Ovis aries: one gene and its partners. Each later gene encodes a partner of the first gene's protein in a complex. Links are inferred from orthologs where the notes say so. Each region holds a gene or a part of one and is shown in the gene's direction. Other genes may lie near its edges.

Region 1 (4,172 bases):
TCTTTGCTAGGATCTCAGCTGTTCTCTTCATCGAAAACCCAATTCTAGGTTATAATAACTAAACTTATCATGGTAATCATTTTGAAATGTATAGAAATACTGAATCACTATATTGTATAACAGGAACTAACCTAATGTTGTGGTCAATTATACTTCAAAAACGAACTCATTAAAAAGAGATCAGGTTTGTGATTACCCGAGGCAAGGTGGAGGGAGGGGAAAGTTGGATGAAGTCAGTCAGAAGATACAAACTTCCAGTTATAAGATAAATGAGTACTAGGGAGGTAATGTACAACATGATAAATATAATTAACACTACTTTATTTTGTAGATGAAAGAGTAAATGCTAAGAGTTGTCATCACAGGGGAAAATTTTTTTCTATTTCCTTAATTTGTAATCTATATGAGATGAGAGATGTTCAACAAATTTATTGTGGTAATCATTTCATGATGCATGTAACTCAAATCATTATGTTGTACACCTTAAACTTATACAGTGCTATATGTCAATTATACCTCAATAAATCTAGGAGAAAACCCCACTTCTAGGTTGCCTTCAAAATAGGAGTATTTATGAGTGGATCTCATTCTGAGCACAAACTTCACACTAACTCGGCACTGCAATGTGATCCTTTAGGGCCTTTTGATGGAGAACTTGGCTATTGACTACTTAAAAAAAAAAAATTTCTTCTGCCATGTTTGAAATACTAGAAAGCAGATGGGATGGGACGGTGGAAGCATTCAATTAAGTGTTCAGTTCAGTCGCTCAGTTGTGTCCGACTCTTTGCGACCCCATGGACTGCAGCACGCCAGGCTTCCCTGTGTAACTTTATCTTTGAGGAGGACCACGGCTTCTCCTAAAATAAGTAGCATAAAGCTTGTTCCCAATCAAGATAGCAAAGTATAGCAGAGCTATACAATAATTATCTTTTTTTTTCCCCTCGAACAGCAGGGAGATAGGTCTGTTTCCGTGTCTGCCCTGCTATGGAGTATAGTGAAAGCGATAGAAAATTTGGAAACAAAGGGACCTGGTTTGGTCTTAACCCAGGACCAAGTGTCTAGGACCACGGCCACTTTTTTTTGTTTGCCTCCAACGTACGGTGTGCTGTGATTGGTTAGACTTAAGTGTACAATAAACCACATTGGGGATTAATAGATTTGACTATTAATAAATAGTCAACATTTATGAAAAAACCTTATTTTACAAAATTGTTAACAACGGCCACGGTTTGGGCGCACGGAAACACCCTTTGGGAACGCGCAAGCAGTGTGCGACCACAGTGTACTTGCGGGCCCCGCCCCGTTGGCCACGCCCCCACGGAAAGCCCGCCTGCTCGCTATTGGTCGCTCTCCCTGGGCCGTCGGTTGCCGTGGAGACCACGGCTATGGCAACCAGGAGAAGCCATACTAGGTCGAGGCTCCGGAACTGCCGAGGGAACAAGACCCCGAGTGCTCCTCATGGCGCTCTATGAGCTCTACGCGCATCCAGTGGAGCGGGGCTACCGTGCCGGGCTCTGCTCCAAGGCGGCGCTCTTCCTGCTGTTGGCCGCCGCGCTCACGTACATCCCGCCGCTGCTGGTGGCCTTCCGGAGCCACGGTGAGTCTGCCCCCTCGCCCCGGCCGGTGCGCGCCCCGCAGCGCTACGTGGCTCCCGCGCCGCCTCCCTGACCCGGGTCTCTGCACCCCGCACTCTCGTTACCTCAGGGTTTTGGCTAAAACGGAGCAGTTACGAGGAGCAGCCAACCGTGCGCTTCCAGCACCAGGTGCTGCTCGTGGCCTTGCTAGGATCCGAGCCGGGCGGGTTCCTCGCCTGGAGCACGTTCCCCGCCTTCAACCGGCTGCAGGAGGGTCATCTGCGCGTCCCGCTTGTCTCGGTGAGTGCTTCCCGCCTGGGCCCGGCTGCGCAGACTGGGCTGCGGAGGGGATGGGCGGAGGGCGCGGCCTGACGGGAGGCTCCGGCCCCTGTCCCGGGGAACTCGGTGTGCGGCTGAAGGAGTCACGAACCCCAGACCCGAGCTTGTTTCCTTTCCTGGAGGCCTGTTTGTTGGTACATTCGGCTTCTCCAAGCCGTCCCCCACCCCGGGTAAGCTGGCTGCTACTGTCAGTGTCTCTGCTCTCTGCAGAGTCTCCAACCCCTGACAATTCCTGACATTTCGGCCTGGCCCTTCCTGAGGGAATGGTGGTCGCAGAGTTTGCTGTGTGAGTTGCGTTGTTGTTCATTCCCTAAGTCGTGTCCGACTCTATGGTGGTGGTGGTGGTTTAGTCGCTAAGTCGTGTCTGACCCTTGCGACCCCATGGACTGTGGCCAACCAGGCTTCTCTGTCCGTGAGATTCTCCCAGCAAGAATACTGGAGGCGGTTGTCATGCCCTCCTTCAAGGGATCTTCCCGACCCAGGAATCAAACCCAGGTCTCTGGCATTGCAGGCAGATTCTTTACCAACTGAGCTCTGAGGGAAGCCCCACTCTGCGAGCCCGTAAACTGCAGCACGCAAGGCTTCCCTGTCCTTCACCATCTCCCCGAGTTTGCTCAAACTCCTGTGCATTGAGTCAGTGACGCCATCCAACCATCTCATCCTCTGTTCCGGTCAATCACCCCGTTGTGCCGCTCCGTTGTCCGTGCGCCCACTGCCCGCAAAGAAAGGGCAGGCAGTTTTAGGCGGACTGTCACGGCGAAGCCAACGGGCTGATTGGTTAGCTGACCTCCAGAATGTCCTGCTGGCCAGGCCCGCCTCCCTGGGCTCACCTCTTCAGGTGCCGCTCAGTCCTGCTGCTGCTTCCTGGGGCTGAAATGAAGCATTTTACTGCCTGTCCTGTAGTATCTGGTTCAAGTTAAGTGAGTGCTTCCTTTACAGTCACCCCTTTAAACTCACTTTCTGAAAGCATTTTCCTTTGGAAGTAGGAAAACTCTGGATTTCCTTCTTCCAAAGTTGAATCTCTTTAGATATCTGAGATGATTGGCCTACATTCCAATTTGTGTAGCTGAAAAAAAATAATTTCAGACTTTTATCCCAGTAACTGAATAAAATGGAAAAAAAATTTTTAATGTAATTGGCCATAAATGAATAACCACCAACAAAATATGGTTATGATTACTTTTTATGATTACTTTAATTTGTTTATAATTATAAAAATGCCTGCTCATTGAAAATAGAGTTACAGGTACATATCAGTTCAGTTCAGTTCAGTTCAGTCACTCAGTCATGTCCAACTCTTTGCGACCCCATGCATCGCAGCACGCCAGGCCTCCCTGTCCATCACCAACTCCCAGAGTTCACTCAGACTCACGTCCATTGAGTCTGTGATGCCATCCAGCCATCTCATCCTCGGTCGTCCCCTTCTTCTCCTGCCCCCAATCCCTCCCAGTATCAAAGTCTTTTCCAATGAGTCAACTCTTCACATGAGGTGGCCAAAGTACTGGAGTTTCAGCTTCAGCATCATTCCCTCCAAAGAAATCCCAGGGCTGATCTCCCTCAGGATGGACTGGTTGGATCTCCTTGCAGTCCAAGGGACCCTCAAGAGTCTTCTCCAAAACTACAGTTCAAAAGCATCAATTCTTCGGCACTCAGCCTTCTTCACAGTCCAACTCTCACATCCATACATGACTACTGGAAAAACCATATGAAATTAAAGGCTCAGTTTGGTACATGTATCTAGACTTGTTATAATTAACCTTCATTTTAAGATCTGCTAGGGACTTCCCTGATGGATCAGTGGTAAAGAGTCCGCCTGCCAATGCAGGAGACATGGGTTTGATCTCTGGGAGTCAGGAAGATCCCCTGGAGAAGGAAATAGCAACCCAGTCCAGTGTTCTTTCCTGGGAAATCCCATGGCCAGAGAAGCCTCGTGGGCTATATACTACATGTGGTTACAGAAGAACCAGACACAACTTGGTGACTAAACAGCCAAATATTTCATGATATGGAAACCTGTAATTGATTTACCAGTTTCCTGTTGGTGGATTTTTTGTTTTTACTTTTTCACTATTAGAATATTGCAGTGAACAAGATTTTTACTAAATCATACACCTTTAAACATCAAATTGTGAGGAACTGGAATAGAAGCTGTTTGTTGACATTGCAAAAATACATAGAAAACTAAGCAAGCAAATAAAATAATTGTCAACTCTAGAAAAGTAGAAGGGAAAAATAATCAGAGTTATGAATAGGATTTCA
Region 2 (3,964 bases), on another chromosome or scaffold:
TGGTCCTTAAAAAAGAAAAAAAAAAAAAAAGAAGAAGAAGAAATGTAACCCTGACTTGTATAAAGTTCTTTGTTCTTACAAGATGCAAAACTGCACTGAAAAAGATGCTTCGCTGGGGCAGTTTCTCAGAGTAATCGGGGAAAGGAGCTTCCAGGCTACTCCTTAGTTTGGCTCAAATAAAACTCTTTTCTATTCTTATTATGGATTATCCATTATTATTCTTGGGAGATGATCTGGTAAGAGGGTGGGGGGGGGAGCCTGGAAGTTGTGACTTGACTGTTAGCCGTGAACTCCGGCGAGAACTTTCCGTTCTACAGGAATCACCTTTAAGGTCCGAAGGTCCGTGAGGTCCCAATCGTGAGAAATGCTTGGACTATAGCTGGGCAAAGAGACTCTGCTGGTCACACCTCCAAGAGATAAGGAAATCGTAGACTCTGAATTTCCGCCTTCGACTCTTGCCTCCCAGGGACGCGGGGTTTCATTCTCTTCCTCCACTCCCTTTTCTGGTCCCGTACGTCCACTTCCTTCCCGCAACACGCCTCTCATCCACACCCTAGTTCAGGAGAGGGGCTCTTTTCTGTACTCTGCAAATCCCTCACCAATCTGAGCGAGCTGGGTGGGTGGTTGGGTGGGGAATCAGAATCAAGGAAAGTTCAGGTATACGGTCCGCCAACAACCAGGGGCTCCAGGACAATAAAGGGGCATCCACCTCTCCAAGTTCGGCCTAGGTCAAGGAGAAGCTACACGGATGCGGGGGATGGAAGAAAAGACAGTGTCCAGGGCTCGGGCATGTTGACGCCCTAAGGCTGGAGTGGTGGTGACTGTGGTGTCTGGAGGATCATCTTGGGCAAAGTAGCAGGGGCTGGGGGCCAGGCCGCTCCCGGCATGGGGATACAGGGAGGAGCGAGTGTCCGAATTTCCGTTCGCCAGTGCTGTGTGGGCAGACTCGGCAATGGGGGGCCGCGCCACAACACACTCTCAGGCTGTGCAGACAACTCATCTGCACGCGGGAAGGCCGGCAGCTCGATTCTCCGCATCCGGTCGGGATCTGCACAGGTATTGTGGACCCGGAACAAAGTTTCCCAGAGGCCCGGAGGCGGCGCGATAATTTGCCGCTCTCGCGAGACTTTCAGAGGTCCCGTCGGAGCCATCGTTTTTGCGGTTACTAAGGCAACTGAGCGGTGCCAGCGTAAGCGGGAAAGCGGCGTACGTCGAATTTTTGTCTGCTAGCTTGGGAGACTTGAGGAGTGACCCTCCTTGAGCTTCCAGCCCCAGAGACAAACGGCCTCTGCTCCAGGCGGTACCTCTTCCCCTGGGAACCATGGGCCGGATCTCAGGGCTCGTGCCCTCTCGCTTTCTGACGCTCCTGGCGCATCTGGTGGTCGTCATCACCTTATTCTGGTCCAGGGTAAGACCCAGGGCCCTCTTCTCGTTCCTCCTTCCAATTTGGGGTGGTCCCAGCCCCACTCCACCCTTTCTCTCCCGGGGCCTTACACGGTGGGGTCTTCCCATATCCAGCCGCCAGACCCTCTTTCAACTTCTGTTTCTTTCTGCCCTGCTCCCTAGGACAGCAACATCCAGGCCTGCCTGCCTCTCAGATTCACCCCTGAAGAGTATGAGAAGCAGGACATTCAGTGAGCATGTGGGACAGGGTGGGCAGAATTAGGCAGTAGAGGGAGTGAAGGGGTCTTAGAAAAAGTTCAGAAGGCCTAAGCCACTTCCTTCTTTTCTGCAGGCTGGTGGCAGCGCTCTCTGTCACCCTAGCTCTCTTTGCAGTGGAGCTGGCTGGTTTCTTCTTAGGAGTTTCCATGTTCAACAGCACCCAGAGCCTCATCTGTATCCTTTCTACGTGTACTCCTTTCCTCCTCGCCCTTGTCCACCATAACGCCCTTCAGCCACTTAACTAGGCCTTTCTGGCACAATGGCGTTTGCTCTAGCAGGCAAACAGAATCCCTCCTGTGGAGAGATGTTAGGCAATGTGGAAGATTTAATACAATCTCTGATCACTTTTTGAGCTCCTGCTACTCACCAGGCACTGGAGATCTCAAGATGAGAGTACAACAGTTTTCTATCTTGAGGAAGAGGCAGATACACAGACATCTGCAATTCAGTGTGATAAGCACGGGTGCCATCAGATGTTAAGATACAAAGCACTATGGGAATGCCGAAGAGACAAAGGAAGTGAGGAAGATGGATCAGGGAAGGCTCTCAACACCAGGGTACTGGAGAGTGATCCCAGCAGTGTATTGTGTCACTGTGAGCATGTCTGTGTGCTTGGAGTAGATCAGGAGTCTACTACTTCACCTGAAGGATCCAAACTAGATATGGGATGGAGGTAGCTTGGTTTCCCAACAGGGCAGGCTCAGCTCTGGCCTCTACACATGGCCATCCTAAAACCCAAAAATCTGGGCTGCTGGCTCTGGCCTTTGCAGTGTGGTAAAGGGAGCAAGAGATGCCTTGCTCACCAGGAGCTGATTGTGAATGCAGATGCCAGGCCCATCACCGGCCTTTTCTGGCTCATCACTACCTGTTGACCCAAAGGCTTTCCTTGACTCTGGTGTATTCCCAAGCCATCGGGGCTCACTGTAGTGCATCTGTGGCCCTATCCTTCTTCATATTTGAGCGTTGGGAGTGCACCATGTATTGGTACATTTTTGTCTTTTGCAGGTATGGTAGCACCTAATGTTTGAGGATGGGGAAGGGAGGTTTACTTTAAATCTGAAGATTCCCCTACCCAGCCCTTTGTTCCATGTGTAACATACCAGATCCACTCAACATTCCCGAGTCTTTTTGAAGTCCTCCACTCCTACACTTCAGGGGGTCGGGGGGTGGGATCGCTGGCTTGGGGATCTGGGTATTTTTATTAGAAGAAACTCTGAACCCATCACCTGCCTTCCTCAGTGCCCTCCCGGCTGTCACCGAAATAACATTATTCATCAGCGTCTTTGGCCTGAAAAAGAAACCTTTCTGATATCTTCGTGACTGGAAGTAGGGATGAAGGCTGAAGGAGCGAAGGACTACTCACCCTTCCTGGAAGAGGGAGGCTTCAGCCCTCCTTCTAACACTGCGTTTGGTGAACGATGTCAGTGTTAGGGTAATTATCTCTCAAGTCTGGGATTATCTGTGTTTTGTTTACAGTCCTTTGTAATAAAATATATTTTAGGGTAAGATCAAACTTACAGGAATTCCTGCAGGAATTCCCTGGCTGTCCAGTGGTTAGGACCCCACGCCTCCACTGCAGCGGGTTCAGTCCCTGGTGGAGCAACCAAGATCCTGAATGCTAGGCAGCGTGGCCAAAAAAAAGAAAAAGAAAAAAATCAAGACAAAAATTTCAGGAGAAAATTGGGGTGGCCAAACTACTATAGAAACGGAAGGCTGTTTTCCAGCCTTGCACTGTAAGACCCTAAATGTCGCTTCTATTCTAGTTATTACGGTAGATTTCTGACGGAAGGGAGTGGGCGGAGATATGTAAATAAGGTTATACTTTAGTACCTCGAGCTCTTAAAGTGAGTGAAGCATTCTGGGAGGGATTAGCGTTTGCTTTTTGACAGCCAAATGGAAAAATTTATTTTAAAACATCTGCAAATAAATTGAACAACAGAAGTGGAAGAACCTGGATAGCTTTAGATGGCTCGAACTAACATGTCGTTTACTCACCCTACCTGTTAGCGGAGTCTTATTACCGGAGTACGGAATATTGCAGTCCTCTCGGTATCGTCAGGTAGGATAATCCTTACCTGTTCCTCCTTTTGGAGGGCAGAATAGAACATGATGATTGGAGCTCGCATGATTCGTGATTAACGGCTCTGCGTAATCAGGACTTGCAACACCCTGATTGCTCCTATCTGATTCTTCCTGGCGATCCGTGATGTTAATGTACTTTACGATTAGATTGAGTTTTTAGTACTGTCTCCTTAGTTGTACTTGAAGTAGCGTCGGGCACGACTGAGCGACTTCGCTTTCA
Region 3 (2,662 bases), about 48 Mb from region 1:
CAGAACAGGTGATTGACAAGTCAGATTTTGCTTTTAAAAGATCCCTCTGGGGACTTCCCTGGTGGTCCAGGGGTTGAGGATCCATCTTCCAATGCAGGGGAGATAGGTTCTATCCCTGGTCAGGGAACTAAGATCTCACATGCTGTGGGGCAGCTGGGTCCCCGTGACTACTGAGCCTATGGGCTCTGGAGCCCTAGTGCCACAACAGAAATCCCATGTGCCACAACTGAGACCTGACTCAGCCAAACAAATAAATAAACTTGAAAAAAAAAAAAAAGATTGCAGTTAAAAAAAAGATCCCTCTGGCTGTCTCACAGGTGACGGATTGGAAGGTGAGGCAGGCCACAGTCCTTTCAGCTCTTAAGGATCCCAAATATCCTTGCTGTTTCTTTTCTCATTCTATTAGGAAATCCCATTAGCTCCCCCTTTGGAATGCATCCTGAATGTCATCACTCCCCCGACCCCCATCACCTCTCACTAGGCTGTTACCATAGAGTCTTTACTGAGGTGTCCCTCCTGTGAACACCTAAGTCAGGCCACATTCCTCCTCTGCTTAGGACCCTCTGTGGTCCCCACATCACTCAAGGTAAAAGGCAAAGCCTTACCGTGGAAGGACAGGGCCCTGCTTGATCTGGTTCTGTCTCCCCTTCCCCGTCTGCTCCAGCCACATCAGTCCCACCAGGCAGCTCCCACCTTAGGGCCTTTGCACTAGCTGTCCCCTCTGCTGGGAGCACTCTTTCCTAGATAGCCATATAGCCCCCAGTCTCTTCCCTCCTTTAAGCACTGCCTCCGATGTCACCTCAGTAAATTTTTTCTTGATCACCGCCTTCTAAAACTGCATGCCTACCTACTCCCACCCTACCCAGCTTATTTTTCTCCAGAGCAGTTATCACCATCTGACATACCCTATAATTTGCGTATTTACTGTGTTGGTTGTCTAAGATGTCAGCTGCACAAGGGCAGAAATTTTTGTCTGCCCTGTTCACTGCTGTATCCCCAGCTTCTAGAACAGGGCCAAGCTCAGAGAGACTCAAAAAGGAGGGTGAAATGGGGCTGGATCTCCCAAGCACTTTGCCTATAGGGTGAGGAGCTGAACTGTATCTTGAGTGAGGAACTGAGAAATCTATGGAAAGGGGAGAAAGATGCTTCCAGCTGCCAGGTGAAAGATGATGAAGGCAAGAAAGAAGGCCCCGAGGCCAGGAAAGAGGACAGGGTGTGGCCATGGGGAGGGAAGGAAGGAGGCATCCAGGACCAGGCCCACCACCCTCACCTGGGGACTGGGCTCCCCAGATATGTGGACACAGAGGAGAAGGCCAACAGAGAATTCAACAGAGGCCAGACCTCAAGGGTCTAGAATGTTGAGGTTGGACTTTATACTGAGAGCATTAGGGAATCATGGAAGGGTTTTGAGCCGAGGAAGAACCTGGATTCAGAAAGATCCCTTTGGCTGCTCTGTGGTGGTCCAGAGGAGGAGGGTGGGGCAGAAACCTGGCAGGGGGTCTTCAGGAGTAAGAGGCTGGACTGTACCCCTTCACCTTTCCACCCTCCCCCCTATCCTGCAGGCTGGCCCCGGCTCCATCTCCAGGTGTGGTCCCAGGACAGCTTCGGCCGCTGCCAGCTTGCAGGCTATGGCTTTTGCCATGTGCCCAGCAGTCCAGGCACCCACCAGCTGGACTGCCCCACGTGGCGGCCCCTGGGCAGCTGGCGAGAGCAGCTGGCGAGGGCCTTCGTGGGCGGCGGGCCTCAGCTGCTGCATGGAGATGCCATCTACAGTGGGGCTGACCGCTATCGCCTGCACACCACCTCCGGGGGCACTGTGCACCTTGAGCTGAGCCTGCTGCTGCGCCACTTTGATCGGTATGGGGTTGAATGCTGAAGGAGCCTATAAGAATGGCTGGCCCCCAGCCATGTCTTGGGACACCCCATAAGGGGCAGGATGGTGCAGTGGTCAGAAGCATGGGCTTTGGAGACTGTGAGGCCAGACCCAGCCAAGGCTGGTGCAGCTTCTAACCTGACTAGCACCTCAAGCCCAGTGGCTACCCCTCCCAGGTCCAGTTTTCCCATCTGTAAAATGGGCTAGTAGGTGTGTGGGCTCACAGGGGTTGGGTGCAGAGAAGCTGCTGGCACGTGGAAGGGCTCAATAAAGATGTAGTGCTTTTCAAGTGTGGGTGCTTTTTTGACCTTCATCTGTCAGACGTGGGCCGGGGGTGGGGGGATTCCTCCTACTGTTACCCTCCTCAAGCCCCCTTCCCTTGCCCTCTGCCTCAGCGTCTGACCCCCTTCTCCACTCTGGGTGATGCTCTTAAGGGCCCCCACTCGTTGGAGGTTCCCCCCGCCCCGTGCCCCTTTCCCCAGTGGCTCCTTAGTTTCTGGCTGACCCTCTTCCCCTCTGCCCCGGTTTCCCACTCTCCACTCAGGGCAGTCCACCTCGAAGTCCCTGTATCCTGGGTCCCCATTCTCTGAGCCTTCCGCACTACGTAGGTCTTTATGCTCTCGCTGACCCCCGGCCCAGTCCTCAAACCCACAAGCATCACTGCCGCCCGCTTCGGTAGCGCTCGACCGCCAGGAGGCAGCACCCTGTTGGTGGGGCGGAGCCGGGTGTCCGCCCCCTCCCCCCGGGCTTAAGGGACCCCCCTTGGAGCCCGCCCACGCAAGATGCGGA
Region 4 (4,023 bases), on another chromosome or scaffold:
TGAGAGTTGGATTGTGAAGAAAGCTGAGTGCCGAAGAATTGATGCGTTTGAACTGTGGTGTTGGAGAAGACTCTTGAGAGTTCCTTGGACTGCAAGGAGATCCAAGCAGTCCATTCTGAAGGAGATCAGCCCTGGGTGTTCTTTGGAAGGAATGATGCTAAAGCTGAAACTCCAGTACTTTGGCCACCTCATGCGAAGAGTTGACTCATTGGAAAAGACTTTGATGCTGGTAGGGATTGGGGGCAGGAGGAGAAGGGGACGACAGAGGATGAGATGGCTGGATGGCATCACTGACTTGATGGACGCAAGTTTGAGTGAACTCCGGGAGATGGTGATGGACAGGGAGGCCTGGCGTGCTGCGATTCGTGGGGTGGCAAAGAGTCAGACACAACTGAGCGAGTGAACTGAACTGAGAAGACAGTATGTGTGAATATATAAGTGCATATATATATATATATTGCATAAGTGCATATATATATATGTGTGTGTGTGTGTGTGTGTGTGTGTGTATATATGTGTGTGTGTATATATATATGTGGCATGTGTCGGAGAAGGCAATGGCACCCCCCTCCAGTACTCTTGCCTGGAAAATCCCATGGACGGAGGAGCCTGGAAGGCTGCAGTCCATGGGGTCGCTGAGGGTCGGGCACGACTGAGCGACTTCACTTTCACTTTTCACTTTCCTACATTGGAGAAGGAAATGGCAACCCACTCCAGTGTTCTTGCTTGGAGAATCCCAGGGATGGGGGAGCCTGGTGGGCTGCCCTCTGGGGTCGCACGGAGTCGGACACGACTGAAGCGACTTAGCATGGCATGTGTATATATAAAATATCCCTAGTACATAACAACAGATATTCCTAGAAAAGAGTACGTGTATATACAGATACAGATAAGCTAGTGGGTCATGAATATTCTCTAAGTTCTGCATTCATTCTGTATTTCCTTCCAAAAAGGTTGCATTGACAAGTCGTTAGAGCTCCTATATCAAATCCAACCCCAGGTTGCTTATTATTATTGTTGCTTATTGTTAAAAGGGTGGAACTTAAGACTAAGGAATCTGCGAGTTGCACCCATCTGATGCGCCCCACAGGTATGAGTCCCTCTCCTCTCAGTTCGAGGGGTCCCCGCGCCTCGGCTCCGAAGTGCATCCGCGCGTGCGCCAGAGCCCACAGCACCTCCCACCGCTCGGTTGCCGTGGGAACAGCTGAGTACTGCGAAGACCTAGCAGTGAGTGGTACCGAGGTCCGGGCATGGAGCTGCCGGATCCAGTCCGCCAGCGGCTGGGAAATTTCAGCCGGACCGTGTTCAGCGACTCCAACCGGACCGGGCCGGAGTATAACGAGGGTCCGGGTGAGTGGCCGAGGCCCAGCGCAGGGTGTCTGGCGTGCGGAGGACCTGGCGCGGGGTTTGGAACGGCCAGATTTTGCCCGGACCTAAGATGGTGGTTTGGTCTTCAGCTGGTTCTCCGCAGTGCGGGAAACGCCCTGGAGGAGGGGCCGGGCCGCTGGCTGGGACTGGGACCAGATACCCGAACTCTGATACCCAGCTGGTCCCGGGCTGATCATGCTGCGGCCTAACCGGCCAGTTGCAAAAGGGGCGGCTGAGGTGGCGCTGGCATTCCTCAAAATATAAAAAATTTAAAGCCACCCTCGCAAGCCGCCTCCGGTGCCTTTCGTCCGAGAAGGCCGAGAAGGCCGATTTCTTTGCTTTTCCTCTGCGGCCTCCGCCCTGGCTTTTCTGCCCTGAATGGAGTGAAAAGAGCAATCTCCCCTTCCACTTCCCCCTCCCCGCCGCGTCCCGGTAAAATATCTTTTCCTTTTCTTCTTTCCTAGCAGAACAGGTACTTGCCACAAGTCCATTTTCTGGCAGAAGACATAGGTTTTTTTTAATGAGTTACTTTAAACGTTCTCCAGTCCGGAATGGCAGCTGCCTCACTAGCATCGCCTTTAACAAAACTCGCCCTCTCCCCACTTTCTCCTTCTCCTCCCCTATATATTTATAACTCTTGACCTAAATCAAGTAACACAATACCACGATGCCACATTTGATATGACAAGTGACAACGCAGTTTTCTGCAAAACAGTTTAACCCTCTTAAATCATGATGATAGACAACATACTGTCAACCACACCCAGGCAGCTTTTATCACTGAACTGTGCTGGGAAATAGAAATCTTTTCCTCTTGCATGGTTCAGGGATTTTTCAAAGGGAGCAGAGAAAAGTCATTTCCCACCGTTTCAATTTTTCACCCTAATCACTTGCCTGTCCTCCCAGTTGAGGGCTGGTCATGATTTAGGATGTACAGAGAAAAACATAATGTGAAAAATTAGGTTATTACGTTTCTGGTTTCTAGCACTAAAATCTGATGATGTAAAGTATCAGGAGTTTCTGTAAAGGGCCGGATAGTAAATACTTAATACCGTGCAGGCCATAGGTCTCTGTGGCAGTTATAGATAATGGTAATGGAATAGACATGGCAGAGTTCCAATAAAACTTTATTTATGGACACTAAAGTTGAAATTGCATGATTTTCAGTGTCACAAAATACTACTGATATTTCCCCCAACCATTTAAAAATCTAAAAAAGCCGTTTTTAGCTCACTTGCTGTACAAAAAGTTGGCTGCTAGTTTGCCTACTCCTGATTTATATTACATAGTGTTTTAATTTGAATTCCATTTACAGAACTCAGCTTGTACTTTTGCAAAATTTAATAACTTCATGTCTTGAGCTTTCAAGGTTCATTTACATATTAACTTGATTTTCAGCTGAATGATTATAAGTTTGATCTGCTGAAATATAGACATAGCATAACTCTTTAGATGCTTGTGTACAGAATTCTTAACATAAAAGCTTATTTGCAAAATTTTACTACAGTGCTTGCTCTGAAGGTATTAAAATTTCAATTTATTATTTATCCACCTTTTCTTTGTGGATCTGAAGTACATTTGATTGTTTGTACTGTAATTACAAGGGTATATTCTGACCATGTTCACAGCTGACCAAGAGTTTTACTGTTGTTGTGAAAAAATCCTAGGGGAGTGAGTTACCTTCAGATTTTAAGAATGCATTCCTTTATCAGTGGTAATTTAATAAATAGGTGCAAGCAAAAGTATATCATCATAATCAGGGATTTTCTTGGAACTAAAGGAAAACCCTTGCTGTGAGAGACCATAATAATTTTATATTTTAAAATTGTTAAATGATAGATATACTCAGCTATGGAGAAAAATAATCTGTTTTTAAGAAATTTATCTCAGAGCCTTTGTATATTCTTTCATTTCAAGCAGTAGATTTCAAAATACTTATCTACTCTTAAATTGTTATAATTTAGTCATATTTAGGATGCATTTGTAGGGGTCAGTTTTAAAAATCAAATTCTTAATTTAGAACTTTTCTCTCTTACATGAAAGCAAAAGGTACTATGTAATCAGCCTTCTGTTCAGTTCAGTTCAGTTGCTCATTTGTGTCCAACTTTTTGTGACCACATGGGCTACAGTATAGCAGGCTTCCCTGTCCATCACCAACTCCTGGAGCCTACTTAAACTCATGTCCATCAAGTAGGTGATGCCATCCAACTATCTCATCCTCTGTCATCCGCTTCTCCTCACGCCTTCAATCTTTCCCAGCGTCAGGGTCTTTTCCAGTGAGTCAGCTCTTCGCATCAAGTGGCCAAAGTATTGGAGTTTCAGCTTCAGCATCAGTCCTTCCAATGAATATTCAGGATTGATTTCCTTTAGGATTGACAGGTTGGATCTCCTTGTAGTCCACGGGACTCTCAAGAGTCTTCTCCAACACCACAGTTCAAAAGCATCAATTCTTTGGCGTTCAGCTTTCCTTATAGTCCAGCTGTCACATCCATACATGACTATTGGAAAAACCATAGCTTTGACTAGATGGAACTTTGTTGGCAAAGCAATGTCTCTGCTTTTTAATATGCTATCTAGGTTGGTCATAGCTTTTCTTCAAAGGAGCAAGCATCTTTTAATTTCATAGCTGCAGTCACCATCAGCAGTGATTTTGGA
Region 5 (4,124 bases), on another chromosome or scaffold:
TGGATGGAACATGATGGCATTATGCTAAGTGAAACGTCAGAGAGAGAAAGAAAAACAACTGTGATCTCCTTTATATGTGGACTCTAAAAAAAGCAAACTGACAGAAACAAAGAACAGATTTGTCAACAGGTACAAACTTTCATTTATAAGATAATTTATGGGGACATACGGCATAGTCAAAAAAGGGTTAATGAACAGTGTTTGGTATACCATCTTCCAGTCAAGGACCAGACAAAATGATCACTATTCTACAAAGCCGATGAATGTCTCTAAGTGGATCACAAAATTATGTTATTTTCTACTGAACGGTTTGGAAAGAAATTTTCAAAAGTAAACTTCGGTATCAATTATAGTTAGCAAATGAAAGAAAGTGCTTCAAATTTTAAAAAGATGGATGCACTGGTCCAAACAGTTGAAAATATATTTAGCTTTCAAGTCTACAGCTTAAGAAAGTTTTCCTAGCGGTGTATCACATTCCAGAATAGTTGAGAGCAGCCCGATGGGCAAAACTTGCACAAAGAAAAGCTGCAAGCGTTTAAGGCAGTTGTCAGGGAAAACCACCCTTGGTCACCAAGCAAGTGACAGCACCAGGGCTGGTGAGTACAGAGCAGCCTTCCCTTTCTATCTCCTAGCAGGGGCCTGGGCAAGTTCTAACCTCTCCTCTCTGGAACCTTCGCTCAATCTTCTAGTCCGTCAACCCGCGAAGATAATGGGGCTACAGGTAAGGCGGCCGAGGTCGGAGGATGCAGTGTCCTCTTCCCAAATTCTCACTCGCCCCCTGCCAAGCTCGCGGCCCCCACTCCACTGTACGGAGACAGACTATGAAATCGAAGAAGCTAAGACTTCTGCCTTTTTACAGAGGGCACCACCCAGGGCGTCGCCAGCGAACGCCCAAGGAGAGGGCGGCGTCTTCCCACCTCTTCAGACTCTGGCCGGGCCCCTCGGCCCCAAAGGCAGGAGCTTCTCTCACCCGGGACCGCTCCCGTTACCTCCTCCCCGCCACTAACCAATAGCCCGACCTCACCTGGGAGCAGTTCCACCCGGGGTTGACTTAGAGAAACCTCGGGAAGAGCGGTCCGGCGAGCGACGCCACCGAAGGCACAGTCATGTTCGGCCTCTTTCAGGTCACCAGCGCAGACACGCCTCGGCCGCAGCGCCTCCCGCCTCCGTGCGGTCCCCCCGCACCGCGGTCCCCCCGCACCCCGGTACCGCCGCAGCCTCCCGCACTGCACGCCGGGAACGGCCTACCTCCACTTCTCAGAGACTTCATCGTCCAAAAGTCCCGGCCTCCCAGCAGAACTGCATTTTGGGATTTGGAGTCCTCACCTCACGCCTTCACTTCGTCCATAACACACAGTGCAGGGAACTCGCGCGGGAATCTGAACGTAAAGCATCATCCACGGTCGTGAAATGTAGGCATCGCTAGCATCCGGGCTCTTGTTGCGGCCTCGGCGGGGTGGGGAATGGTGTCGCCTAGCAGCCGCTGTCGCTATTACTCGCTCCGGACCAGTAGGCGGGATCCAGTGTCCGATAGGAAGGGCGCTGGAGAGCGGTCAGGTTTGGCGGCTGGGCCGGGCCGAGTGGGTACGGTAGCTGAGCGGCCGCCGCTGGTTGCCAGGTTTGGTGTAGGTAGGTGGATCCTGGTGAGCGCAAACCGAGTCTCTTCCCACACAGGTTCTTTAACCTTCGGGGCCCAGGTAAGACAACAGCTCAGTTTCCCCGTTCCTTAGCCTCCTGTCCGCAATCGGTTTGCTTGCCTTTCGCTGCAGCCCTGATTTCCCAGGCCCAACTGCACTCGTTTCAGTCGTATATTTCCTCACTTTTTTTTTTTTTCTTAAATCCTAGTTTTTGTTTCTCCGAATCGGGGCTCAACTTCAGCCTTTCAAGCACCCCCGCACTTGGCACCATTAGGTGTTCGAGGTGGTAAGGGGTCGTGGAGGAGCGGGACTCAGAATCTTAGTTCTGACTTATAGTTTAAGCATGGAAGCCTTCGTAATTATTTGACCTATAAAATATCTGATGATTTTTTGCAACTGCTGTACTTTTCATTCAGGCTATTTAATCGACGTATCTGTTACACAATTGAGAAGCAATAACTTTTTGCAAACTCCGTAGAGAGTTGTAACAATGTGATCTGTAACAACTTTAAATTACTGTAAAGACAGTAATGCTACTTACCTTGTAAATGCTAATACCCACTTGTTTTATTACAGAAGGTAAAGCACATTGAAAGAATTCAAGATGCCACCTAATATAAACTGGAAAGAAATAAGAAAGGTTGACCCAGATGAGCTGCCTCGTCAAGAAGAATTGGCAGATAATTTATTAATTTCCTTATCCAAGGTACTTAATTGATAAAGCATAGATACATATATACAACTATGATTAAATTGTCCTTGAAATCACTGAATGGTAACAACTGAAAGAATTATTATATTTTGTTTAAGGATTATAAAATATGAAATTGTTGCTTTTCTCTTTACTTAGGTGGAAGTAAATGAGCTAAAAAGTGAAAGTCAAGAAAATATGATACACCTTTTTAGAATTACTCAATCATTAATGAAGGTTTGTATGCAGTACTTTACTAGTAGCTTTGACTATTAGAGAAAGCTTAAGAATCTCTGCTTAGATAAGTTAATCTCTAAAGCACTTTGTAAAATCTAAATGACAGCTAAAGTTCCTAAAAGAATGTGTAGGGGAAGCAGAACAGTTGTGTTTTAAAAAGCATAGGGATGTCTTACATTAGTGAGTGAAAGTTGCTCAGTTGTGTCTGACTCTTTGTGACCCCATGGACTATATAGTCTATGGAATTCTCCAGGCCAGAATACTAGAATGAGTAGCCTTTCCCTTCTCCAGGGAATCTTCCCAACCCAGGGATTGAACCCAGGTCTCCCTCATGGTAGGCAGTTCTTTACCAGCTGAGCCACAAGGGAAGCCCAAGAATACTGGAGTGGGTAGCCTATCCCTTTTCCAGCGGATCTTCCCAACCCAGGAGTCGAACCAGGGTTTCCTGCATTGCAGGCAGATTCTTTATCAACTTAGCTATCAGGGAAGCCTGTTTTATGTTAATTATGTTATAATTTGTTAGAGTAGCCAACCACTGCAGGGATTTGTTAGGAGAGGAAGAGATTTAGATGTGAGAATACCTTTTACATGCTGGGAGTAATTGGGGGCAGGAGGAGAATGGGACGACAGGAGATGAGATGGCTGGATGGCATCACCGACTCAATGGATATGAATTTGGGTAAACTCTGGGAGTTGGTGATGGACAGGGAGGCCTGGCATGCTGTGATTCATGGGGTTGCAAAGAGTTGGACACAACTGACCCACTGAACTGAAATGATATGTTTTAAGAGCTTTGCTGTGGCTCAGCAGGTAAAGAATCTGCCTGTAATGCAGAAGACCTGGGTTCAATCCCTGGGTTGGGAAGATCCCCTGGAAAAGGGAACAGCTACCCACTCCAGAATACTGGAGAATCCCGTGGGCTATATAGTCCATGGAGTCTCAAAGAGTCAGACACGACTGATCGATGATCACTCACTTTCATACCTTATAAAGGTCAAAGACTGTTGAGTAGTTTTAGGTAAGTGGAGGCAGTGGTAAAGTGTTAACGAGCTTCTAGCGCTGGTATGCATATGTACTAAGTCACTTTAGTCATGTCCGACTCTTTGTAACCCTGTGGACTGTAGTCTGCCAGGCTCCTTTTGTAATCCTATGGACTGTAGCCTGCCAGGCTCCTCTGTGCATGGGATTTTCCAGGCAAGAATACTGGAGTGGGTTGCCCTGATCTCCTCCAAAGGATCTTCCTGACTCGTATCTTTCACGCCTCCTACATTGGCAGGCAGGTTAGTGCCATCTGGGAAGCCCTCTAGAGCTGAAAGTGAAAAGTGAAGGTGAAAGTCACTCGGTCCTGTCTGAATCTTTGCAACCCCGTGGACTATACAGTTCATGGGATTCTCCAGGCCAGAATACTGGAGTGGGTCGCCTTTCCCTTCTCCAGGGAATCTTCCCAACCCAGGGATTGAACCCAGGTCTCCTGCATTGCAGGTGGATTCTTTACCAGCTGAGCCACAAGGGAAGCCCTCTAGAGCTGAAAGTTACCGTAAATAAAAACTGGGGATAGG
Region 6 (3,500 bases), on another chromosome or scaffold:
ATTAAAACTTGCTAAGTAGGGCTTCTACCTCTTCCCATGTTTTTACTGTCTGAATTACCAAAGATATTTCTAGAACCCCAAGTACAAGGAACCTGAGCCAGCGTTATCCTTGGCCAATAGCCTGTGAACATGGACTCAGCTTCAAAGCTGCAGGTGACATCTGAGGAGAGGAACAAAATTGAGAATTTTGATTCTTGGTAGCCTTAAGTGGGCCCTTCCTCTGAATTGGAATCTCCAGAGGAGCTTAGAAATCTGCAATATTAAACCGATGGTTCTTATGGTCAGGCAAGTGATTTACTGTGTTGATTCTTAAACCTATTTTAATTATCAGCATCACCTGGAAAGTGTTTGAAAGGACCAGGTGTGTGGGTTTCACAGTTAGCTTACCAAATCAGAGTTTTTGTAGGGAGAGTGCAAACAGAACTTTCCAAGTGAGTCAGATGATTGGCCACTTTGGGAAAATCTCAGATGGAGGAGTGCTCAAACTGACTCATTTCACTTCACAGATTTCCCCCAAAGTGCAATAGGAAGAATAAAATGGACCTTTGTATGAGATGGACTTTTGGTACTTTGCAGTGGCAGGGGGCAGTCACTACCTGCAGATTGTGACGCTCTGCGCCCCACCTCTCTTGTTTCTGTAGTTGCTGCTCTGTGTGTCTGTGACTTGTCTCCAGCACAGTGTGACATCAACTGCTGTTGTGATCCTGATTGCAGCTCCGTGGATTTCAGTGTCTTTTCTGCCTGCTCAATTCCAGTTGTCACGTAAGTTTGTAACATGAAGTTTTGATAAATTGGACCAAGATTATAAAATTTGGGGACAGACAGTGAAAACTCCTCCAGGCTGAAAAAACCCAAATCACCCCAGGCTGATTTCCTGAATTCTGCATCTTTCAGAAGCCATGCTGTTGAAATCAGTGTATTGAAGAGTTATTGTTTAGTCGCTAAGTCGTGTCCAGCTCTTTACTGACTGAGCCACCAGGGAAGCCCTCGTGTCCAGCTCTTTTGTGACCCCATGGACTGTAGCCCGCCAGGCTCCTCTCTATGGGGTTTCCCAGGCAAGAAGACTGGAGTGGGTTGCCATTTCCTTCTCCAGGGAATCTTCTGACACAGGGATCAAACTCCTGCATCTGCAGATGGGTGCTTTACCACTGAGACATCTGGGAAGCCTGTGTAGAACAGTATCTATCCCTTATTTGCATTCAGCCAGATGATAGTGCAGGCAAAAGAGAAGTGAGAGTGTACTTTTCACAAAGGTTATAATGAAATCTCTGTGTTAAGAGATTGAATTACGTTTCACTTTGATTTGTAAACAAATAAGGTGTCACGTTTTTGTATTTGTGAATTAGTCTCAGGTATAGCCTAGGGTGAAAAGTGCAGTTTAATTTTACAGCTTTTGTTGTGGACATAATTTTCTAACGAAAATTAGAAAGGAAAGCTTTGTTTATACCTTTCTAGTAGATGAATCTACGAGGAATTCTCACAGTTCACATCGTGTAGGAGAATAATGGAAAATGACATTCCCAGTCGATTGCAAGATAAACAGTTTCTTCTGAGTTACCTGGTTTTCGTAATTCTGATTTCAAAGCTTTTTGATAAAATAATAGCACTTATAAGAAGTTAATTTATTCAGGATGGGACCAGTTTATTATTCAGAGATAGCCAATTTAAATTCAGTCTTGTACGAAGTTTAGCAGTTGAAATTTGATAGGTTGAATGCTTTTTTGGAAGCACAGTGTGTTTTTCCCATGAGAAACTATTTTATTGACCAATAGGAAATCCAATCTACTTCTGATGTTGTTAAAATGCCTGGAGCATGGGGTGTTGTAGTCAGATTATTTTTCTGGCTCCCTGAACTATACTGTGGTTCAGTCTTTGTTGAAAATCATTCTGTTTTCCTGAATTAGTAAGTTCCAGGAGCTTGAGAGTGAGATATCTGTTCTGATTTGCGGTCATTATTTAGAATGTAGTTCTTAAGAAATAGCCAGTACTGTAATTTTAGATATAGACTATTTAGAATGGTGGTCAGCCAACTTTTTCTGTAAAAGGCCACATAATGAACACTTGAAGCTCTGCAGGCTGTGTGGGCTCTGTTGCAGCTTTTCAACTCTGCCACTGTTGAGCAAAAGCAGGCATGTAATGAATGGGCGTGACTACATTTCAGTAAAACTTATTTACAAGATTAAGTGTAGTTTGTGGCACCATGGGTTAGAAATTAGAACTGAATTCGTAGTGCCCTCAGGAAAGAACTTGAGGTTTTTTTTGAGTTAGTTTTGCTTGTGACCTTCTACTAAATATGAAGTATAGAAATAATGAAAACTAACAGTCCTAATCTCAAAAACGACACAATGATCTCTGTTCGTCTCCAAGGCAAACCATTCAATATCACGGTAATCCAAGTCTATGCCCCAACCAGTAACGCTGAAGAAGCTGAAGTTGAACGGTTCTATGAAAACCTACAAGACCTTTTAGAACTAACACCCAAAAAGATGTCCTTTTCATTATAGGGGACTGGAATGCAAAAGTAGGAAGTCAAGAAACACCGGGAGTAACAGGCAAATTTGGCCTTGGAATGCGGAATGAAGCAGGGCACAGACTAATAGAGTTTTGCCAAGAAAATGCACTGGTCATAGCAAACACCCTCTTCCAACAACATGAGAAGTCTCTACACATGGACATCACCAGATGGTCAACACCAAAATCAGATTGATTATATTCTTTGCAGCCAAAGATGGAGAAGCTCTATACAGTCAACAAAAACAAGACCAGGAGCTGACTGTGGCTCAGATCATGAACTCCTTATTACCAAATTCAGACTCAAATTGAAGAAAGTAGGGAAAACCGCTAGACCATTCAGGTATGACTTAAATCAAATCCCTTATGATTATACAGTGGAAGTGAGAAATAGATTTAAGGGCCTAGATCTGATAGATAGAGTGCCTGACGAACTATGGAATCAGGTTCTTGACATTGTACAGGAGACAGGGTTCAAGACCATCCCCATGGAAAAGAAATGCAAAAAAGCAAAATGGCTGTCTGGGGAGGCCTTACAAATAGCTGTGAAAAGAAGAGAAGCAAAAAGCAAAGGAGAAAGTAAAGATATAAGCATCTGAATGCAGAGTTCCAAAGAATAGCAAGAAGAGATAAGAAAGCCTTCTTCAGCGATCAATGCAAAGAAATAGAGGAAAACAACAGAATGGGAAAGACTAGAGATCTCTTCAAGAAAATTAGAGATACCAAGGGAACATTTCATGCAAAGATGGGCTCGATAAAGGACAGAAATGGTATGGACCTAACAGAAGCAGAAGATATTAAGAAGAGGTGGCAAGAATATACAGAAGAGCTGTACAAAAAAGATCTTCACGACCCAGATAATCATGATGGTGTGATCACTAATCTAGAGCCAGACATCATGGAATGTGAAGTCAAGTGGGCCTTGGAAAGCATTGCTATGAACAAAGCTAGTGGAGGTGATGGAATTCCAGTTGAGCTATTTCAAATCC

Evidence for each region.
Region 2: TMEM231 (region 1) and TMEM107 share a complex: the UniProt entries of both Homo sapiens proteins name them as parts of the tectonic-like complex. The link is inferred for Ovis aries from reciprocal best matches to the Homo sapiens genes TMEM231 and TMEM107.
Region 3: TMEM231 (region 1) and B9D2 share a complex: the UniProt entries of both Homo sapiens proteins name them as parts of the tectonic-like complex. The link is inferred for Ovis aries from reciprocal best matches to the Homo sapiens genes TMEM231 and B9D2.
Region 4: TMEM231 (region 1) and TMEM17 share a complex: the UniProt entries of both Homo sapiens proteins name them as parts of the tectonic-like complex. The link is inferred for Ovis aries from reciprocal best matches to the Homo sapiens genes TMEM231 and TMEM17.
Region 5: TMEM231 (region 1) and CEP290 share a complex: the UniProt entries of both Homo sapiens proteins name them as parts of the tectonic-like complex. The link is inferred for Ovis aries from reciprocal best matches to the Homo sapiens genes TMEM231 and CEP290.
Region 6: TMEM231 (region 1) and TCTN1 share a complex: the UniProt entries of both Homo sapiens proteins name them as parts of the tectonic-like complex. The link is inferred for Ovis aries from reciprocal best matches to the Homo sapiens genes TMEM231 and TCTN1.

The regions. Positions count from the first base shown.
Region 1 is NC_056067.1:2,346,256-2,350,427, reverse strand, and holds the start of TMEM231 (transmembrane protein 231), read left to right. Parts: upstream 1-1,372; 5' UTR 1,373-1,458; coding exon 1,459-1,597; intron 1,598-1,704; coding exon 1,705-1,874; intron 1,875-4,172. UniProt on the Homo sapiens protein: Transmembrane component of the tectonic-like complex, a complex localized at the transition zone of primary cilia and acting as a barrier that prevents diffusion of transmembrane proteins between the cilia and plasma membranes.
Region 2 is NC_056064.1:27,637,300-27,641,263, reverse strand, and holds the start of TMEM107 (transmembrane protein 107), read left to right. Parts: upstream 1-1,164; 5' UTR 1,165-1,321; coding exon 1,322-1,408; intron 1,409-1,566; coding exon 1,567-1,634; intron 1,635-1,735; coding exon 1,736-1,836; intron 1,837-2,570; coding exon 2,571-2,667; intron 2,668-2,901; coding exon 2,902-2,971; 3' UTR 2,972-3,964. UniProt on the Homo sapiens protein: Plays a role in cilia formation and embryonic patterning. Requires for normal Sonic hedgehog (Shh) signaling in the neural tube and acts in combination with GLI2 and GLI3 to pattern ventral and intermediate neuronal cell types.
Region 3 is NC_056067.1:50,063,066-50,065,727, reverse strand, and holds the end of B9D2 (B9 domain-containing protein 2), read left to right. Parts: intron 1-1,562; coding exon 1,563-1,876; 3' UTR 1,877-2,162; downstream 2,163-2,662. UniProt on the Homo sapiens protein: Component of the tectonic-like complex, a complex localized at the transition zone of primary cilia and acting as a barrier that prevents diffusion of transmembrane proteins between the cilia and plasma membranes.
Region 4 is NC_056056.1:45,732,028-45,736,050, forward strand, and holds the start of TMEM17 (transmembrane protein 17), read left to right. Parts: upstream 1-1,223; 5' UTR 1,224-1,250; coding exon 1,251-1,350; intron 1,351-4,023. UniProt on the Homo sapiens protein: Transmembrane component of the tectonic-like complex, a complex localized at the transition zone of primary cilia and acting as a barrier that prevents diffusion of transmembrane proteins between the cilia and plasma membranes.
Region 5 is NC_056056.1:124,433,901-124,438,024, reverse strand, and holds the start of CEP290 (centrosomal protein of 290 kDa), read left to right. Parts: upstream 1-1,324; 5' UTR 1,325-1,412; intron 1,413-1,522; exon of another isoform or gene 1,523-1,697; intron 1,698-2,213; 5' UTR 2,214-2,241; coding exon 2,242-2,343; intron 2,344-2,487; coding exon 2,488-2,565; intron 2,566-4,124. UniProt on the Homo sapiens protein: Involved in early and late steps in cilia formation. Its association with CCP110 is required for inhibition of primary cilia formation by CCP110.
Region 6 is NC_056070.1:54,510,250-54,513,749, forward strand, and holds part of TCTN1 (tectonic-1), read left to right. Parts: intron 1-641; coding exon 642-762; intron 763-3,500. UniProt on the Homo sapiens protein: Component of the tectonic-like complex, a complex localized at the transition zone of primary cilia and acting as a barrier that prevents diffusion of transmembrane proteins between the cilia and plasma membranes.